Coturnix japonica: one gene and its partners. The protein of the gene in region 1 interacts with the protein of each later gene in a biochemical or structural test. Links are inferred from orthologs where the notes say so. Each region holds a gene or a part of one and is shown on either strand. Other genes may lie near its edges.

Region 1 (4,417 bases):
GAGAAGAAACACTCTCCTGAAGAACACTCTCCCAGCCTTTAGAAATGTCCAGGTCCTAGATTTCCTCAGGCAGATGTGTTACATCACATTCAATAACGGCTTTAAGCTGGCAGAGGGTACATTTAGGATGAATAAGAGGAAGAAATTCTTTACTGTGAGGGTGGTGAGATGCTGGAACAGGTTGTGGAGCAGGTTGTGGGGGGGTTGTGGGTGCCCCCTCCCTGGAAGCATTCAAGGCCAGGCTGGATGGGGCTGTGAGCAGCCTGGTTTAAAGGCAGGTGTCCCTCCCTATAGCAGGGGGGCCGTGTGCCGGCCGCAAAGGACCACTCACCCTCCGGCGAACAGGTGCAGTAGGGTGCTATGCTGTGCCATGGCACGGCGCTCCGTCGGAAGGCTCCGCTGCTCTGCGGGCATGGTTGGGATCCGTCACCGGCAGCCCGAGGGAGAGGCCTGGCCCGCCCGCCCTACACTCGCATTGGCTCCCCGGGCGGAGGCGGGCAGCCCGGAAGGCCGCATGTGGGGCGGGACGATGGGGCTGGGGTTGCTCCGGATCCCTGTGCTAAGCTACACCCACGGCTCGTGGGCTGTGGGCGGTAGGGCTGTGTGTGCTGCTGATGCTTGTAACTGTGGGCCGAATCCAGGTGTCCTGGATCCCACCCCTTGCAACAGTGATATACGTTACCCACTGTAGAATAACATCACAATGACACAAGAGCCAGGCTGGCAGATGTCTGTACAGGAGGTATCCTTGGGGTATTTCAGCCACCAGTGAGCCACAGAACCAAAGGAAGATGTAATCTAAAGTGAAGCTCCACAAACGTCATTGGTGTGGGTCCAATGACCCACACGTCCAGGGATAGGGAGGTGATTGTCCCTCTCTACTCGGCTCTTGTGAGGCCCCATCTGGAGTACTGTGTCCAGGTGTGGAGCCCTCAGTACAAAAAAGATATGGAGATTTTGGAAAGGGTCCAGAGGAGGGACACGAAGATGATCAGGGGGCTGGAGCACCTCCCCTATGAGGACAGGCTGAGGGAGCTGGGTTTGTTCAGCCTAGAGAAGAGAAGGTTGCGGGGTGACCTCATTGCAGCCTTTCAATACCTGAAGGGAACTTACTCCCAGGAGGGGAGTAAACTCTTGGAAAGGGCTGACAATAGCAGGACACGGGGAAATGGTTTTAAGTTAAAAGAGGGAAGATTTAGGTTGGATGTTAGGGGGAAGTTCTTCACTAGGAGAGTGGTTAGGCCCTGGAACAGGCTGCCCAGGGAGGTTGTGGATGCCCCGTCCTTGGAGGTGTTCAAGACCAGGTTGGACGGGGCCCTGGGCAACCTGATCTAGTAAAGGTGTATGTTTGGTGGCCCTGCCAGGCAGGGGGGTTGGAACTACATGATCCTTGAGGTCCCTTCCAACCCGGGTCATTCTGTGTGATTCTGTGGGTGCCGGATTTGACGAGGTGCCTGTTCCTTTAAGAGCTGTCCCCGCCCCCCGCCCAGCCCCGCGACCCAGAGTCTCCAGGTACGGGGTGGGCTGTGGGGGAGGGCTCCCGTGACTTGGCGTGGCCCACCCGGCGGCTTTGCGGGGTAGTGGGGGGGGGCTTGCGGTGCTACCGTCGCTGTGGGGCTGGGGCCGGCGCCCAGCGGGCCAGACCGTGGTGTGCGGCCTGGTTGTCTGGCCGGTTTGTGGGGTAAATCCGGGTGAGGCTGGGGCAGGGGAGGTGGAGTGAAGGCAGCCAGACGAACGTCCCGGTGCTCAGGCGGGTTCCGGCTCGGGGCGCAGGCTGCCGGGGTGGGTGTCTGAGCGCTCCGCCTGACGTGGGCCCGGTGTCGCCCCGGGGCCAGGTGCTGCCCGCAGGGGTCTGGCGCTGCCCGTGCCTCTCGCCATGGCTATGAGGGAGCTGGTGGAGCCGGAGTGCGGGGGCTCCAACCCCCTGCTGAAGCTGGCCGGCCACTTCACCCAGGACAAGGCCTTGCGGCAGGAAGGGCTCCAGGGATCCCTCGGTTGGCCGCCGGGCGCGGCGGGGGCCGCTGCTGTGAGTGTCGAGGGGCGCTTCGATCGCTGAGGGCAACGGGGGGTGGGCTGCTTTGCGTGGGAAAGGGGCTGTGGGGCTGTCCGGGCTGTCAGCAGGGTGGTGGGCCTTGGTCTTGCTCGTAGTGGCTGAGTCTGGGGGTGCTGGCAGGATGGTAGCAGCCGTGGGGGGGTCGCATGCCTTGCTAATGCAGTGGCTAACCCATAGGGGGTGGTGGGAAGATGTTCCTGCACCTATAGCTGGGACACGTGCAGGCAGCTAATGCAATGGTCAGCCTGACCTGAAGGGAGAAAAGGATGTGAGCCAATTGGGGTGCTGTGTGGGTAGCCCAAGCTGTTGAGGTGACTGCTCACTGTTACTTCTAGGTATCCAAGCCATTGGGAGTAGCCTCAGAAGATGAGGTAAGAACAAATGGATGCATGTCCTTATTACCTTTCTCTTCAGTGCTTAGTTTGCTGTTTGTCCCTGTGTCTGATTTTACTCTTCTGTTGAGTCTGTTTCTTTCTCCCTCTCTGTGGCTCTACCTGTTTGTCTCCCATGCTTTAGATGATGAATGTCAATCTCTCACTGTCTTTGACAGCTGGTCGGAGAGTTCCTGCAAGGGCAGAATGCCCCGTTACTGTCCCATGCACCCCAGACCTTTAAGATGGATGACCTGTTGGCTGAGATGCAAGAGATTGAACAGTCGAGCTTCCGTCAGGCTCCTCAGCGAGGTGAGGGGAGCTGGAGTAAGTGGATGCTGGGAAAGGTCTTGGTGCTGTGGTTAAACTCTTAATGGGGTGGTTCCCTCTGTTATGAGGTTATGTGGAGCAGTGTTTCCAGCTTTGGACTTCCCAGTATGCTGACACACTGTAGTAGATGCTTAGGGATTCTGGGGAATCTCCAGACCTTGAGAAGTTTAGAAGCTACTTGATCAATACCCTGAGCCATCAGATCTAATTTTGGTGTCATTTTTTTTTCTTCTTATAAGAACACTTGCAGCCTTCAGAGATTCCTTCTAAATAGAATCTTCTGGTGATTTTATTCTAATGAACAGAAAGGACCTGCTCAGAGATGACGATGGCTACCTGAAGATTCCTTTGAGTCCTCTCGCATTCACTTGTGTTTTTCTTCTAGCTCCAGGTGTGGCAGCCCTTGCACTGTCTGAAAACTGGACCCAGGAGTTCTTGGCTGCAGCAGATACTGCTGGAGATGTCTCTTCAGATTACAATGAGGCTGACTGGTCACAGGAATTCATTGCTGAAGTGACAGGTGAAGTGTCCCCTTTGGAGTTATTGTTGGGATGTCGCCCGGTCACATGCATGCATGCAGTTTATTTAGTGAGTTTAAAACTGAAGTAATGCTTTTAGGTGGTAGTTAATCTGAAAAGCCATCTTGCATTGCGTATGGAGCTGTGTGCTGAATATAGTCCTTTGACCATCTAGCACCTAACCTGGAAACGATGTGTCAGATTTAACTAGATCCTGTTCTGTTCCCCAGGGGTGGTCACTGTAGAAAGCCAGGCAGTTCCATTCATTGATCAGCAGTCTTGATACTGATTTTGACAGAGACTTGTAACGCATTGCTGATTTCCTTGACCTACATAGTATCCCTCATGGAGCAGGTGTTTAAATAATGAAGTGGAAGTAGAAAGTAAAGATGTTGCCAACACAGAGGCATTTGTATTAACACTCTGTCTGAGCCTAAGGCTTGATTATTGTTTTTTTTTGTTCAGGACGCAGTTAAAAGAAACAGGTATTAACATTCTTTCTTTGAAAAGGTCTTTACTGCATGTGTTAGATAACAGTATGTAAAACGATGAAAGCAAAATCTGAAGTTAATCTTAGTGATGTTACGCTTATCTCACTCTTTCCCTGTCCTAATGTCCATTGCAGATCCACTGTCTGTGTCTCCTGCCAAGTGGGCAGAAGAATACCTTGAGCAGTCAGAGGAGAAACTGTGGCTTGGGGAATCAGAAGACCAGTCGCTGTCAGATAAATGGTGAGTCTCTAGTCTCAAGACCAGTTATTGCTGCTAGGCTTCTGCATGGGTGAAGGCTGGACAGATGGTAGAGAAATATCTTGAATGGTTTTGAATCACTTATCTAGACATATGTTCTCAGATCTTAGTTTTAGAAGAAGGGAGAAAATGATGATTAAGAGATCGCTGTTTTCCTAGATTCTGGTTCCTGGAAATGCTGTGATCCTGTAGACTGATATAATCGAATAGGCACTGAAAAGCTCCTTAATGTGATTTCAGGAGTTATTGCAGTGACTTGTACTCAAGTAGAATTTGTTTTCTGCTCTTCAATAGATGCTTTTTGAGTTTTAGTCTTAAGTGCTTGATCCAGTAGTTTTAAACGTTCCTGTATGAGGCTGTGATTGGTGGGGCTGAAACTTGGGATTCTTCGTAACA
Region 2 (4,448 bases), on another chromosome or scaffold:
AGCTGACACCTCGAATGGGAAAGTATTGCTTTCTTAAGCTGTCTGACAAATTAATACGACTGCAAAGAGATCTGGACACAAAAACAGCTCTTCCAAAGAAGTGACTAGCCTAGGTTTATGAACAATCAGAAGTAATGGCGAATTGCTTCCCCATTTAGTGACAGATAAACTCCTCCTGCATTCCTGTCTGACATAGGCTTGGATAGCTCTCAAGTGCTTGTTGCGGGGAAGAAAGGACCCAGCCATGAGCCTGGATGATGGCCCTCTAGTTACTCGTATCGCCTTCTAATGTTTCACTTGGGAGAAAGATGACTTGCTCTGGATGGAAAAAAAGAGCATCACAGGGCAGTTCTTACAAAGGTTCTCTCCGTGGTTTCATTGCCAGTGATGAGAAAGAAAAGCAGTTTTCACTGAGGTAGTTGTGAATGTAGCAAAAGAACTGAAGATAAATAAACATTCTCTGATGAGTATTTTCAACGAGGCTTTTAGATACGGAAATCAGTATTGCCAGTACCTTTCTGATATTAAGAGATTTCTTCCCTGTCTTATACAATTCTCTGTTCTTCTCAGAACTTTGAGAGAAAATCAAGCTGTGCTATTGTTCTGGCAAAATTATTCCTTGTTCTTTTTATCACTGAAGGAAAAAGGTCAGTGATCGTGTGTGTGCACTAGATCATGTCTTTACTTGCATGGTTTCAGAGCAGCTCCACAGGGAGGTGAGGCAGGTGCTGTGCATAGTCTGTGCTATGTTTGCTCTCCTGCTGTGCTCCCAGGCCCCTTGGGGGCTTCCTGCTCTGTGCTGAAGCTGTAGGGAAAAGGCTGCTGCCAGGAGGATTCATGGCAAATGCTGCTCTAGGAGGATGGAGGGGAACTGCACTGCTGACCCTCTGAGTTCAGGCTGATAGTTGTCAGCTGAAATGCCACAGCAACACCATGTGCCCTGCAGTACAACACCCTGCTGTACAATGTTATCAGGACCCTGGGGATCCTGCAGGCAGGTGTGCTTCTGGCTAAGTTGTGTTTTCCTGATGACAGTGCAAATGCTTGCAGGCTTGGCTGGCTGGCTTGTTCTTATTGACCATGCTGACTGAGGTGCCATGTGCATTATCACCACTCTGACTGCCTGCTGGAATCTTACAGCGAGCTCGGGGCAACTTCAGAAACATCCAGTGTGCAGCTAATTGCTAGTAAGGGAGGTAAAGTGGCATCGAGGAGCCTGGGAGCCTCCTATCTGTGCAAGCCAAGTTCTGGCAGCCGGAGAGTGGGGCTCAGCTGTGCCTGGGCTCAGAGCCAGTGCTGGGCCGGACACACACAGCCTGCGGCAGCAGTGGGGCTGGGGCAGCTCTCAGGGCCCACTCAGCCTCTCTTCTCCAGGTACTTCCTCTCCCTCTCCCTCTCTTGCTGTTTTGGTTTGTTTTTTGTTAGCTGAAATGGTGCTCAGTGGGGAGGGGAGGGAGGCAGCAGCCTGCTCAGGCAGCAGCAGGGCCACAGGGCTGCACTGCAGGCCTCAGGGGCTCTCAGAGGTGGGATTGCACTTGGGTATGTCAGGAGATGGGTGAAACAGAATCTGCCTGTGCTGCAGGGAAACAAAACCGATGGCTTTCCTCCGGTCTGGCCATTTGTTCTGGCCACAGAGGAGTAGGAGGGTGGCAGGGGCACTGTGTCTGCTGGCTGGCCATGCTGGGTAAAAATAGCCTGTCCTCATGAGCCCTCCCAGGTGCATGAAGGCAGGAGTGCGAGTAATCATCTGCTCATTGCATCAGCAGCTTTGCTGGGGCCAGGCTGTGCTTGCTGCTGGGACTAGAGTGGCCTTTAGCCTCTGCTTTGCACTCAGTTTTTGGCACATTAGCACATTAAGGCCTGATGTGCTCCTGTCTCACAGCAGTCAGTGCTGGAACAACAGCGTGACAACTGTCCATCGTGGCTGGGCTCCTGTGGGCTCCAGCAGCACCGGCAGCCCCTTCCTGCTCACACTCCTGACAGCTTTTGCAGTGCTGGGATCAGCCGACATTGAACCAGCTCGCCTGAGGAAATCCCATCTGAACCAGGGAGGTTTGCAGTGAAATCCAAACCGCTACTGAGCTGCAGTTCCCTTTTCTTCCCCAGCTGCAGAGAGGTCAGTTGGGAAATTCAATCCCCATCTTAGTCCTGGCCTTAGGGTGCTGGAAGGGCTGAGGGGTGTGGCTTGTGTTCAGAGCAGAATTTCTTCAGACTGGGTTTATGGTGACAGCAAAGTGGGTTGTTAGTGCTGGTTCAGGGTTCACCTTTACTCCTGAGCTGTGTTCTCTTTCCTTGCTGTGTGGGCATTTTTGTGGTTGCCTTGTGAAAGAAGTTGTAATAATTGACAGGAAAAGAGTTAAGCATCATCCCAGAACAGGAGGGGAAGTTGCAACAACCCTGGGCTGTGGTGCAGAAAGAATGCAATGATAAGCAGCAGTGCTTATCCCCCCCTCCCTTATCACACAGCAGGGACATGGCTTAATGGGCATGATGGTGAATGGTGATAAGTTGGCGGTTGGACTAGATGATTTTAGTGGTCTTTTCCAACCTTCATGATTCTACAATTCTATGACATCAAACTTCATGTAATTCTGCTGGGAAAGTGAGCAGCTATGAAGTGTTGTGAGAAAGGACCTTGTAAATATATGTAAACTCACACAGTTGGTCTTATCCAGACTATTATCAAATATGTCAAAGGCCAAGGAATAAAAGCTTAATAATAATGTACTGCATTCATTAAAGATAAATCTGAAGGATTTATTATGTCTTCCTCTGTCCAGTCTGCTCTGGGCTTATTTATTCCCTGGCTTTAGGGAGTCTGCAGATGCTGATGTCCAAACAGTACTGTTCCTTTTTGGTGGCTGAGGGGCCAGTTTTCCCAGAACTCCAAGGGGCACTACAGTACTCCTGACCCCACAGGAAGATTGATGGATACCTCACTCCCTGGGAGTCACTGAAAAAGCCTTACCACAGATTATTACACCAGTGCCCTATGCACCAACTTCTCTCTTGCTCTGTGCTGTGGATGAGGCAGGAACTGTCTGAGTTGGGACATTTCTCAAACATGGGTTGTCGTGCTGGGGTATTGTGATGCTCACCCTCACCTTTGTGCAGTGGCAAGTCTTCATTTAGCTGCCAGAGGTTATGTTGTGTCCTGTGCAGGTGTTTAAGAGGTGAGGATGCTGTCCAGCAGGATGCTGTGCACACTGCAGCTGGGACATGTTACCTATATACCATCTCAAATGCCCATAGGTGCCTGTCTCCACCAGTCCCTACCCCACAGATGGCAGCCCCCAGGGTGGCAGTGGTGGGAGCAGGGCTCATCGGACTGTCCACAGCGTTACGTATTGCTGAGGTGAACCCGAACTGCTGCTCCATCACCCTCCTTTCAGAGCAGTTCAGCCCCAACACGACGAGCGACGTGGCAGCTGGCATGCTCATCCCTCACACCTACCCAGGTGCGTGTGAGCTGGTGTGCCAGCATTTTGAGAAAAGTACCTTTTCTTTCACTCCCACCTGTCCTGTCTTCTTGCTGCCGCCTTTATACTTCTCCTATTTGTGTTTTCACCCTCGTGTGTTTGATTGTATTTGAGTGCAGACACACCAATCCACGTGCAGAAGCAGTGGTTCAAAGAGACCTTCACCTACCTTTTTGCTATCTGCAACTCAGCCGAGGCGTCAGAAGCTGGCATTCACCTGGTCTCTGGGTAAGAGCAGCCAAAGGGCAGCATTTGGCAGACATCTACTGTGTGCTGCAGCAGGTAGAGGTTTTTCTTTCTGAAGCTCAGCTTCATGCCTCTCATGGGGTAGCTGTCATGACCATATTCCCAAGAAGCTGCACTGCAGCTGCTCCACTAGGATATATTCTCAAGCAGAGTTCATGCACTGGTATGCATAGAGAAACCATGTGATACTAGCCTGCCCCAAACTATTTTTTATAATGGATATTTTATGTGTTATCACTAGCTGGTTGCTTGCAGCAGAGGTGATCACAGGAGGGGTAGGACTGCAGGATGCTCTGGCTTCAGCAAGTTGGTGTAGGAATGCAATGGGTGTAATCATAGTATTTTCTTCAGTTCTTGGCATCTGACAATTTTTAATCTGGACACTGAGCCTCTCTCTGGTTGATCCGCCCCAGGGTATAACACTCAGACCTTCTGCCTGTGTGCCAGGACATGCTGCAGAAGTGATTGCCCTTTGCAGAGCTGTGTAGTTCAAATAGGAACAGACTGCTGAATCCTTGGGTTTGTGCTAAGATTGCAGCAATGGGGCATAGCACTAGCAGCTATGTTTTGCAGCTTATTTTTCTTGTGTTCTTTCAGCTGGCAGATCTTTAAAAACCCTTCCGAAGCTGAGGTGCCTTTCTGGTCTGACGTTGTCCTGGGGTTTCGACCAATGTCTGCAGCAGAAATGCAGAAGTTCCCACAGCACAGCCATGGCCAGGCCTT
Region 3 (4,468 bases), on another chromosome or scaffold:
CAGTCTCGGGATGCTAAATGCTTCCCTTAAAGCTTCGACTCATGCAGCCTAATGACTGTATGGAAATTTCAGCTGGGAAAACCTCTTCATTCCTTTCAGTCAGTAAACATTCACTGTCAAAGAGTAAAATATTGATGGCATTAAGCCTAATGCATGACTCAATAACTAGAAAAGAGCTTACTGCATTCCCCAGCGTTTTAAGCTGTTTATCCTTAAGCCTAAAGGAACAGCTCACAGTCTACTTTCTGTGATAGAAAGGCTCATTTTGCAATGTTTTATTATTGTTGTTGTTGTTGTTGTTGTTGTTGTTGTTGTTGTTGTTGTTATTATTATTAATGCCTGCAGTATTCTCTTGCTGATAACAGATTCTTTAAGGATTTGTGTATGTAGAAGTGCTTGCCACCAGCTCAGCTCATGCCTAAACTGGCTGTCAGACAAGCAAGCTGAGGGAATGACGTGCATGTGTCTATGGCAGAACAGAGATCAGTGCTCTGAAAAGGAGGAGAACTGGATGCAGGGATCCAGTCAGCATCTTGACCGCATGTTCCAATGCCAATAAGGTGCGTAGGGTGATGAGCTGAGCTCGAAGAAGTGACTGCAGTATAAACAGAGCCTATACTTTGCATACTGAGAGGGTGGGGAATCAATTCATTGAAGTGATGCTTTGTGAGCAAAATACTCGCAGTGGAGGGCTGTTGGTGGAGCACGGCTGCCATCTAACGGGGCGTTGTGGCTACACGGGCTTTGTGCTAGACAGGGGGGTTGGAACTACATGATCCTTGAGGTCCCTTCCAACCCGGGTCATTCTGTGATTCTGTGATTCTGTGTTGGGAGGAGCCGGCCGGTAGCACAGCTGGTTTCTATGCTGCTATGAAACGCTACTGTTACCGGCTGTCCTTTGTCCCTCTGGGATTTACTCACATGCCCTGGACCCTAGGCGGAAATACTCGCGTTTCCCTACTCTCTCTGCTCGTAAAATAGCTTTTCAGAATCACAGAATTATCAAGGTTGGAAAACACCTAGAAAATCATCTAGTCCAACCATTACAAATACTTCCCAGCTAAATCATATTCCTCAACACAACATCCAGACTTTTCTTGAACACTCCCATGGTCGGTGACTCCACCACCTCCCTGGGCAGTGCATTCCAATGCCTGACTGCCCTTTCTGAGAAGTAATACTTCCTAATGTCCAGCCTGAATCTCCCCTGGCACAGCTTTTTTATTATTTATTTATTTATTTATTTATTTATTTATTTATTTCTCTAGTTGTTACCGTATCTTCCTTTCAATCTCGATACACAAATACTTCTGTTAGGAAGTGAAACAAAACGGCTATTTCTAAAGGCCATCGAAGCGTGAATGCACAAGCTTGTCTGTGGGGAAATAAACGGTATGGGGAACTAGTCTTTCTCATAACGTTCTGTCTGCTCCTTGGCCATCGATGTCTACAAACACCCTATTAACACGTCCTCAAAACAAAGCATTCTCCTGTCCCATGGTCAAGAAGGACCTCTGTCGGTGAACCCCGAAACTATGTGCCCGCTATGCTGCCAGCGCCAAAGATGGCGGCACCGCCTCAGCGTGGCGGGCGGGACTCTTCCGACGCAGCTCAGCGGTGCCGCCTCCCAAGCTCGGGCCGGGCCGGGCCGGGGCCATGGGCACGGCGGGCGGCGGCGTGCTGAGGCTGCCGGGGCTGCACGGCTACGCGGCCGAGTTCTCGCCATACTGGCCAGGCCGTGTGGCCTGCGCCGCTGCGCAGTACTACGGCATCGCAGGTGATGTACTTGAGGCAAACGGGCCGACTGATGGTATTTTCTCCCTGTGACATAGTGTAGCGCTGCCCTTGTGTTGGGTGCTCGGCCGGCCCGGTGGGGGTGCAGAACAGGCTGCCTCGGGGTTGGAGGAATTTGCATTTCCACTCTATTTTCACAGAGTGGAAATAAATACAAACAAAAGCTACATCTGCTGTGTTACTGAAGAGGTAGAAAGGAGCTGGTCCTGGTATACCTATAACACAGGGCCAATGCTTGTGTGTGGGGGTGCACTTAGGGCTGACAGTAGCAGGACACGGGGAAATGGTTTTAAGTTGAAAGAGGGAAGATTTAGGTTGGATGTTAGGGGGAAGTTCTTCACTAGGAGAGTGGTTAGGCTCTGGAACAGGCTGCCCAGGGAGGTTGTGGATGCCCCGTCCTTGGAGGTGTTCAAGACCAGGTTGGACAGGGCCCTGGGCAACCTGATCTAGTAAAGGTGTATGTTTGGTGGCCCTGCCAGGCAGGGGGGTTGGAACTACATGATCCTTGAGGTCCCTTCCAACCCGGGTCATTCTGTGATTCTGTGACTTCTGTGCAGGAGGTGCTGCTTTTCCAGCCTCAACCACAGGTGTACTGGGGGAGGAGAACTTGATGTAAATGAAATCCTGTTTTGGAGAGCAGAAGAGGCAACAGGCTGTTGCACAACTAACTGTGTGGCCTCTTAAAGAAGTTTAGCTTCCTTACGCTCACAGGAGCTATCACAGAACTTGTAGGACCTTTGGTGTGAGCAAGGAGTTGTGATGTTTGGTTATACTGTGCTGTTTTAGGTTGTGGAACTCTGGCAGTGCTGGAACAAAATGAAACTGGGATTGTCCTGCTCAGGAGGTAATGCTGTAAATATTCTCTGTTGTGAAAATAAGGTGTAAACCTGTATTGTTGTTTGTAGAAAACCCATCCCGAACATTTTGGTGTATTGTTATCAATGTAAACTGTTGTATCTGTACTATATTGTCTGCTGTACACATATATTTTTATCGAGGTGCAAATGATTGGCTTACATTCCACGTCTCATTACAAAAAGTAATTCAGATGACACCTTTTCCATAGTGTAAGCCGTTTTATGGAAAACTGGCAGTGTAAATTAAAAGCTCTGACCCAGCTTGACATTGGAAGTTTGGTTGTTATTGCAGGTGTCACCTCTGTTTATCCCTTTAAGGTTGGCTTAGATTGAAAATAGAGCAGGAAGCTGGGATAAGTCAAGGAAGTCCTTTCTTGGAGATGGAATGCTCCAAGAGAGGAGTTTGGTCCATGTTCTGGGTGGGAGAAGGGGAGGGGTTAGTGCTTAGCCTCTATTCACCTAATTATGCAAACAACAGTTGTTTAGATTAAGAAGGGAAATGAGATATAAGTATTAAGCAAGAAATTAGAAAAATCTGATAAGCTGTTTTTAATTCATAATTATCCACCTGACTCTCTGAAACTGTTAAACACGCTCTTCATTCTACAAAGTGTTCTGTTCATTTCTGTGTTTCTAGAGACTCCACTTATTCTGTGGTGGAAAGTCCTGTGCTTTCCTGAGCACCGAGCTATGCCATTTTCCCCATAGAAGCTTTCTGTGTGTGTGCCTTTCTCTTCATAATTACTGCAGTGTGCTATGAAGCTTAATCTGAGCTGAGTTAAACCTTCAGTGAGAGGGGGGTAAATAGGTCGTATTTACTATGAGATAACAGTGTGGTTATTAATAGGTGTTGCAGAGCAACCAGCACACGGTACTTGATCCTGGAGGATGAATGGGTGGTGTGCTGAAAGCCCTTTTTAGGAGTTACAGAGATCTTTAATATTTTCATGACTGCTCTTCTCTTGGTTTTTCATTGTCACTCAGATTCTTAATGGTGTTGTGGATTGAATAGAGACCTCCCAACATGGTTTTATTTCTTTGATTACCACAGTTATTGTGGACTGCAGGCTCTGACCACTGTAGCAGCAGCATCCTGGAGAGATGGTAGGTTAGTCTGAGATGTGTAGCACCTCTCATCTGACTTCTCAGCAGTTTAGAACTGAAGTCAGATTCCATTCTCTGTGTCTGAGGTCCTTGGCTCACTTACACTTTAATTGACCTACTCTGACCGTAGTCAACCTATTCTTGTAGAAGTTAACATTGTATCCAGTAAGTTGCTTATGAGGAGATTCACTGGAAACTGAAATGGGTAAATAAGCTGTTCAGAATGGTAAGCAGGTTGATTATAAAAAGCTACTGTCTTTGCACACAGCTAGTCCGGATTTGTGTTATGCTTTCCCATGGACAAATATCTTCATTGTTTCTGTTCAGCTTTGACTGGAATGACGGCCTGTTTGATGTGACATGGAGTGAGAATAATGAGCACGTGTTGATCACTTCTAGCGGGGATGGGTCTCTGCAGATCTGGGATATAGCGAAGCCCAAAGGTCCACTGCAAGTCTATAAGGAGCACACTCAGGAGGTAAATCCAGCAAACTGCAGGAATTTGCTGGACTGTCTAATACTTGAATTACTAAAGGGGATATTTGAGCACTCAAAATCAAAAGTGTTTTCTGTCATCTATTTTTTTTTAACTTTGTTTGGGCCAATGATTTGAATTTAAAGCTTCATGTTATTTTCAGTATAAAGTTAATATATTATACATATTCATTTGCACATTCACACTCGTGTCGTAGGTAACTCTTAGTCTGATAAAT
Region 4 (4,408 bases), on another chromosome or scaffold:
GGCTGCGGCCACCGCCGTGCCACCTCAACCAAGATGGAGGGCAGCGCGGGTGCGGGGCTGGGGGAGGAGGACAAAGGGGTGGCCGAGCTCCGTGCCAGCCGCCCCCTCCCACCGGCCGAAGCCGCCGGCGCAGCCCGAGGGGACGCGGCGGCCGCCCCAAGGTCAGCGGTGCCACGCGCGGATCTCCGCCGCCGTTCACCCCGAAGCGGAACGATGACGGCGCACGAGCCCGCAGCGCTGCACCTGCCGCCCCCGGGGCATCGCCTCCCCCCGACAGATGCTTCTGGAAGCCGCGGCGGCTCCGTGCCCGCCGTGCCCGCCGTGCCCCCCATCCCCGTCCCCGCACGGTGCCGGGCAGCCCCCGCTGCCCCTCTGCGCCCCGATGGGGCGGCGGCCCCGAGCTCCTCCCGGACGGGTCCCGCGCGATGCCGGTGCCGCCGCCCCTACCTGTGCCCGTGGGCGGCGGGGCGCTGCGCTCAGCCTCTCAGCACCGGCATGGGGCCGGCACCGCTGGTGATGCCGGTACCGCCGCTGGTGATGCCGGTACCGCCGCTGGTGATGCCGGTACCGCCGCCGATGCCGGTGTCGGTGCGGGCGGTGTCGGCCCCTCCCCTGCGGTGCCGCCCTGCCCCTCCCCACCCCCTCGGTCCCATTGGCCAACGCCGGTTACGTCACCGCATCCCACCCCACCATCCCCGCCACCCCCGGCCCCGCGATGCGGATCCGCCGCAAGGGTGCGGGGAGAGGCGGGACCTGCGGCACCACGGCAACCGGCACCACGGCAACCGGCACCACGGCAACCGGCCCCTCTCCCATCTCTCGGAGCCTCCGCCCGTGCTGCTGCCCGCCCAGCAATTCATATACCTGTCCCAGCCATGGCCGCTGCTTCTCCACGAGTGTGCTGTGGGATAGAGCCGCAGGCTCTGCTGCAGTCTATGTAGGTTATTACATCCACAGCCCTTCCATCATCCACCAGCTGGGTCAGCCGGTCATAGATCAGGTTGGTCAGACAGGACCTGCCTGCCATGAAGCTGTGCTGGCTGGGCCTGATCCCCCAGTTGTCCTACACATGCCATGTGATCTCACTCAAGATGATCTGCTCCATTAACTTCCCTGGCACCGAGGTCAAGCAGACACATCTGTAGCTCCCCGGATCCTCCTTATGACCCTTCTAGAAGGTGGGTGTCACATTAGCAATCTCCAGTCACCTGCACCTCCCCAGCTGACCAGGACCACTGACAGATGATGGAAAGCAGCTCAGCAATCACTTCACCCTCTCAGCACCCCCAGCTGGGTCCCAATGGCCCCATGGACTTGGCTCAGCCCAGGTGAGGCAGGAGGTTGCTGTTTCCTCCTACACATGGCATTTTGTTCTGCCCCCACTCCTACCTTCCAACACAGGGAGCTGAATACCTTGAGGTTTACTGGCCTGACTGTTGTAAAGAAAGCACTGAGAACCTCAGTGACAACATTCCCCGTCACGGCTGACGGAGCCCGGTGTGGGGCACTGCATCCCCCGGCCACCCCACGAGAACAGTGCTGAGTACACTGCACTGCTGGTGGCACATTAACTGGATGGGAGGTGGCGGGGGCAGAGTCCGGCGGTCATTGTCCGTGTGGCCGTGGGCAGGGGATGCACCGCACCACAGCACTGCCGATATCCATAGCAGCTCTCCTGCGGGCTTGCAGCACAGCTGCCTGTGCCATGGCTGCTCCCACACCCCATATCCCCCCGCCCCGTGAGCTGCTGCGGCCACTGGCCGTGCCCTACCGGCTGCTGCTGGGGCCGGGGCCCAGCAACCTGTCCCCCCGAGTGCGGGCAGCCGGCAGCCAGCAGATCGTGGGCCACATGCATCCCGAGGTGCTGCAGGTGAGTTGGCTCTGCCCCAGCAGCCCACACCCCCTGTGTTACTGGGCTGACGGCGGTGCTGGTCCTTATCTCAGGTGATGGAAGAGATCAAGGCGGGCATCCAGTACGCCTTCCAGACGCGGAACCGGATCACGTTGGCTGTCAGCGGCACCGGGCACTGCGCCATGGAGGCTGCCCTTATCAACCTGCTGGAGAGCAGTGACACCGTGCTGGTGGGCAACAACGGCATCTGGGGAGAGCGTGCTGCTGACGTCGCCAGGAGGCTGGGTATGGCTGCTTGTATGTGAGCTGACAGCCTGAGCCATGCAGAGAGCTCAGGTTTTGTGGGGTGACACCCTCAGGGCAGTTTGTGTCAGGCACCCGATTAATGTGTGCCCAAAACTCCACATCCCTCTGTACATTTCCCCCCAGGAGCCAAGGTCCATGAGCTGCTGAAGCCTCCGGGTGAATACTTCACCTTGAGGGACATTCAGGAGGTATGTGCCACCTGTGGGGCACCGGGACTGAGCCCCACACAGGTTCTCACTGTGCTGTTCTCACCCAGGGCTTGGCACAGCACAAACCCTCAGTGCTCTTCCTCACTCACGGCGAGTCTTCCACGGGGGTCCGGCAGCCACTGGAGGGGCTGGGCGAGCTGTGCCACCGGTCAGTGCTCCTGGGGACCCCAGCAGGGCTGGGCTGCAGGGGGCTGTGGGGCTGAGCTCTGGTCCCCCTCCAGGCACGGCTGCCTGCTGCTTGTGGATGCGGTGGCATCGCTCGGGGGAGTGCCCATCCTCATGGACCAGCAGGGTGAGAGCCGCGGTGCTAGCGAGGAACAGGGGTCCCTGAGTGCCCCCACACCAGCACCTGTGGTGTGTGCCCTGCGTTTCCCACTGGCAGTGGGGCAGAGTCCTGCTCAGAGCCCTTGGTCCCTCTCATGCAGGGATTGATGTACTATACACGGGGTCCCAGAAAGTCCTCAGTGCCCCCCCTGGCATCTCTCCTATCTCATTCAGTGAGCGAGCAAGGTAAGGACTGCCCCGTCCCAGCAGGGCTGGGGGCACAGGTAGGAGGACCCCCCTCCTTGGCCACATCCCCTGGCTGCAATGCCAACCCAGTGCTCACTTCAGGCTCTGTGCTCCAGGGCAAGCAGTGGGTAGAGGGGCTCTCCCTTCCATGGGGCAGCGCTCAAGTGCTGTGTTCTGCCAGGGAGAAGATGCAGAGGAGGAAGACGAGGCCCCCATCCTTCTACCTGGACATGAGCTGTCTGGCGAGCTACTGGGGCTGCGATGGAGAGCCACGCATGTGAGGGCGGGCTGTACCCAGACAGGAAGCTGTGGCTGCCCCACCACATTCCAAACCCTAGCCCTAAATCTAGCCTAAATCCAAAGCCCCCCATCTTATCCAGTTGCTCTGCTCTATTTGCATTTCTTCTCCTTGCCCCCAAAACAGCCCCTTTGTCCCAGCTTTGCATCCCTGCCCAGGTCCCCTCCCCAGAGACTCTGCCACTGCTCCCCACTTCTCCCTACCTCTCCCACATGCCTGCCCCAGGGGCTTGCAGCAGCTGAGCCTGCCTTGGGGCTCCCTGGATTTTGCAGGTACCACCACACAGGGCCCGTCAGCAGCATCTTCTGCCTGCGGGAGGCCTTGGCCGGGCTGGCGGAGCTGGTGAGCTGGGCATAGGGACAGCTGATCTGGGCCACACCTGTGTTATAGCAGGGTTTGGGGAGCAGAGTGTGGTCAGCTGTCGGTGGTGGCATGGGACATTCAGGCAGGGGACATTTATTCTTTGCTGCCAGGGCCTGGAGAGCTCATGGAAGCAGCACCAAGCTGTCTGCACCCGCCTGTGCCAGGGGCTGCAGGATCTGGGGCTGGAGCTCTTCGTGAAGGAGGAGGTGCAGGATGTGGGCACAGACCCACACAGCTCAGAGCTTCCCTGGTGCTGGAGAGGAGCCCTGGTTCAGGGAAGCAGAAGGGATGTGTGGCTCTAACCCTGTGCCTTTCCTCCCCAGGCGGCACGGTTGCCCACCGTCACCACCGTCAGGGTGCCTGAAGGCTACAACTGGAAGGAGATCACAGCCTTCCTGATGGATAAACACAGCATTGAGATCTCTGGGGGCCTGGGCCCTACTGCAGGCAAGGTGAGCGGCATGCTCCCCATCTCTGAGCCCACACAGCTGCAGACACTGGCAGTGCACCATGCAACTAGCACAGGGCTGTGCAGCCCCCGCTGCCTGAAGCAACATTCCTTGCCACACAGAGTAGCTGCACACGTGATTAGTTAGTAGGGTAACATATCTTTATCATGACAGAGAGGAAATGAGGGTTAAATAGGAACAGACTGGGATGCACACACGTATATACAGCTTGTTGTGTGCCCCACATGGGGCCCAAAGGTGGGGGCTGCAGGGGAAACCCGCCCTTCTCCTCCAGGTGCTGCGGATCGGCCTCATGGGGCACAACGCGACCCAGGACAACGTGGACCGCCTGCTGCAGGCCCTGCGAGACGCCCTGCAGCACTGCCAGCACAGCAGGCTGTGAGCAGATGCCCACAGGGAG

Evidence for each region.
Region 2: the proteins of PEX5 (region 1) and DDO form a complex in vitro, tested with the Homo sapiens proteins (2 studies listed by BioGRID, with this or other methods). The link is inferred for Coturnix japonica from reciprocal best matches to the Homo sapiens genes PEX5 and DDO.
Region 3: the proteins of PEX5 (region 1) and PEX7 form a complex in vitro, tested with the Homo sapiens proteins (3 studies listed by BioGRID). The link is inferred for Coturnix japonica from reciprocal best matches to the Homo sapiens genes PEX5 and PEX7.
Region 4: the proteins of PEX5 (region 1) and AGXT are reported together in a solved structure, tested with the Homo sapiens proteins (2 studies listed by BioGRID and IntAct, with this or other methods). The link is inferred for Coturnix japonica from reciprocal best matches to the Homo sapiens genes PEX5 and AGXT.

Annotation. Positions count from the first base shown.
Region 1 is NC_029516.1:69,672,675-69,677,091, forward strand, and holds the start of PEX5 (peroxisomal biogenesis factor 5), read left to right. Parts: upstream 1-1,429; 5' UTR 1,430-1,512; intron 1,513-1,562; exon of another isoform or gene 1,563-1,681; intron 1,682-1,701; exon of another isoform or gene 1,702-1,835; 5' UTR 1,836-1,876; coding exon 1,877-2,026; intron 2,027-2,388; coding exon 2,389-2,424; intron 2,425-2,603; coding exon 2,604-2,736; intron 2,737-3,139; coding exon 3,140-3,274; intron 3,275-3,897; coding exon 3,898-4,003; intron 4,004-4,417. Other genes in the region: solute carrier family 25 member 36-like, read right to left, coding at 332-414.
Region 2 is NC_029518.1:60,550,743-60,555,190, forward strand, and holds the start of DDO (D-aspartate oxidase), read left to right. Parts: upstream 1-1,536; 5' UTR 1,537-2,116; intron 2,117-3,162; 5' UTR 3,163-3,283; coding exon 3,284-3,458; intron 3,459-3,598; coding exon 3,599-3,707; intron 3,708-4,136; exon of another isoform or gene 4,137-4,244; intron 4,245-4,322; coding exon 4,323-4,448. UniProt on the Homo sapiens protein: Selectively catalyzes the oxidative deamination of acidic amino acids. Suppresses the level of D-aspartate in the brain, an amino acid that can act as an agonist for glutamate receptors. Protects the organism from the toxicity of D-amino acids.
Region 3 is NC_029518.1:49,693,450-49,697,917, reverse strand, and holds the start of PEX7 (peroxisomal biogenesis factor 7), read left to right. Parts: upstream 1-1,525; 5' UTR 1,526-1,535; coding exon 1,536-1,777; intron 1,778-2,580; coding exon of another isoform or gene 2,581-2,638; intron 2,639-4,082; coding exon 4,083-4,233; intron 4,234-4,468. UniProt on the Homo sapiens protein: Receptor required for the peroxisomal import of proteins containing a C-terminal PTS2-type peroxisomal targeting signal. Specifically binds to cargo proteins containing a PTS2 peroxisomal targeting signal in the cytosol.
Region 4 is NC_029524.1:3,726,589-3,730,996, forward strand, and holds the start of AGXT (serine--pyruvate aminotransferase), read left to right. Parts: upstream 1-1,593; 5' UTR 1,594-1,633; coding exon 1,634-1,870; intron 1,871-1,944; coding exon 1,945-2,137; intron 2,138-2,281; coding exon 2,282-2,346; intron 2,347-2,414; coding exon 2,415-2,515; intron 2,516-2,588; coding exon 2,589-2,659; intron 2,660-2,792; coding exon 2,793-2,877; intron 2,878-3,058; coding exon 3,059-3,154; intron 3,155-3,447; coding exon 3,448-3,517; intron 3,518-3,648; coding exon 3,649-3,744; intron 3,745-3,861; coding exon 3,862-3,990; intron 3,991-4,282; coding exon 4,283-4,390; 3' UTR 4,391-4,408. UniProt on the Homo sapiens protein: Peroxisomal aminotransferase that catalyzes the transamination of glyoxylate to glycine and contributes to the glyoxylate detoxification.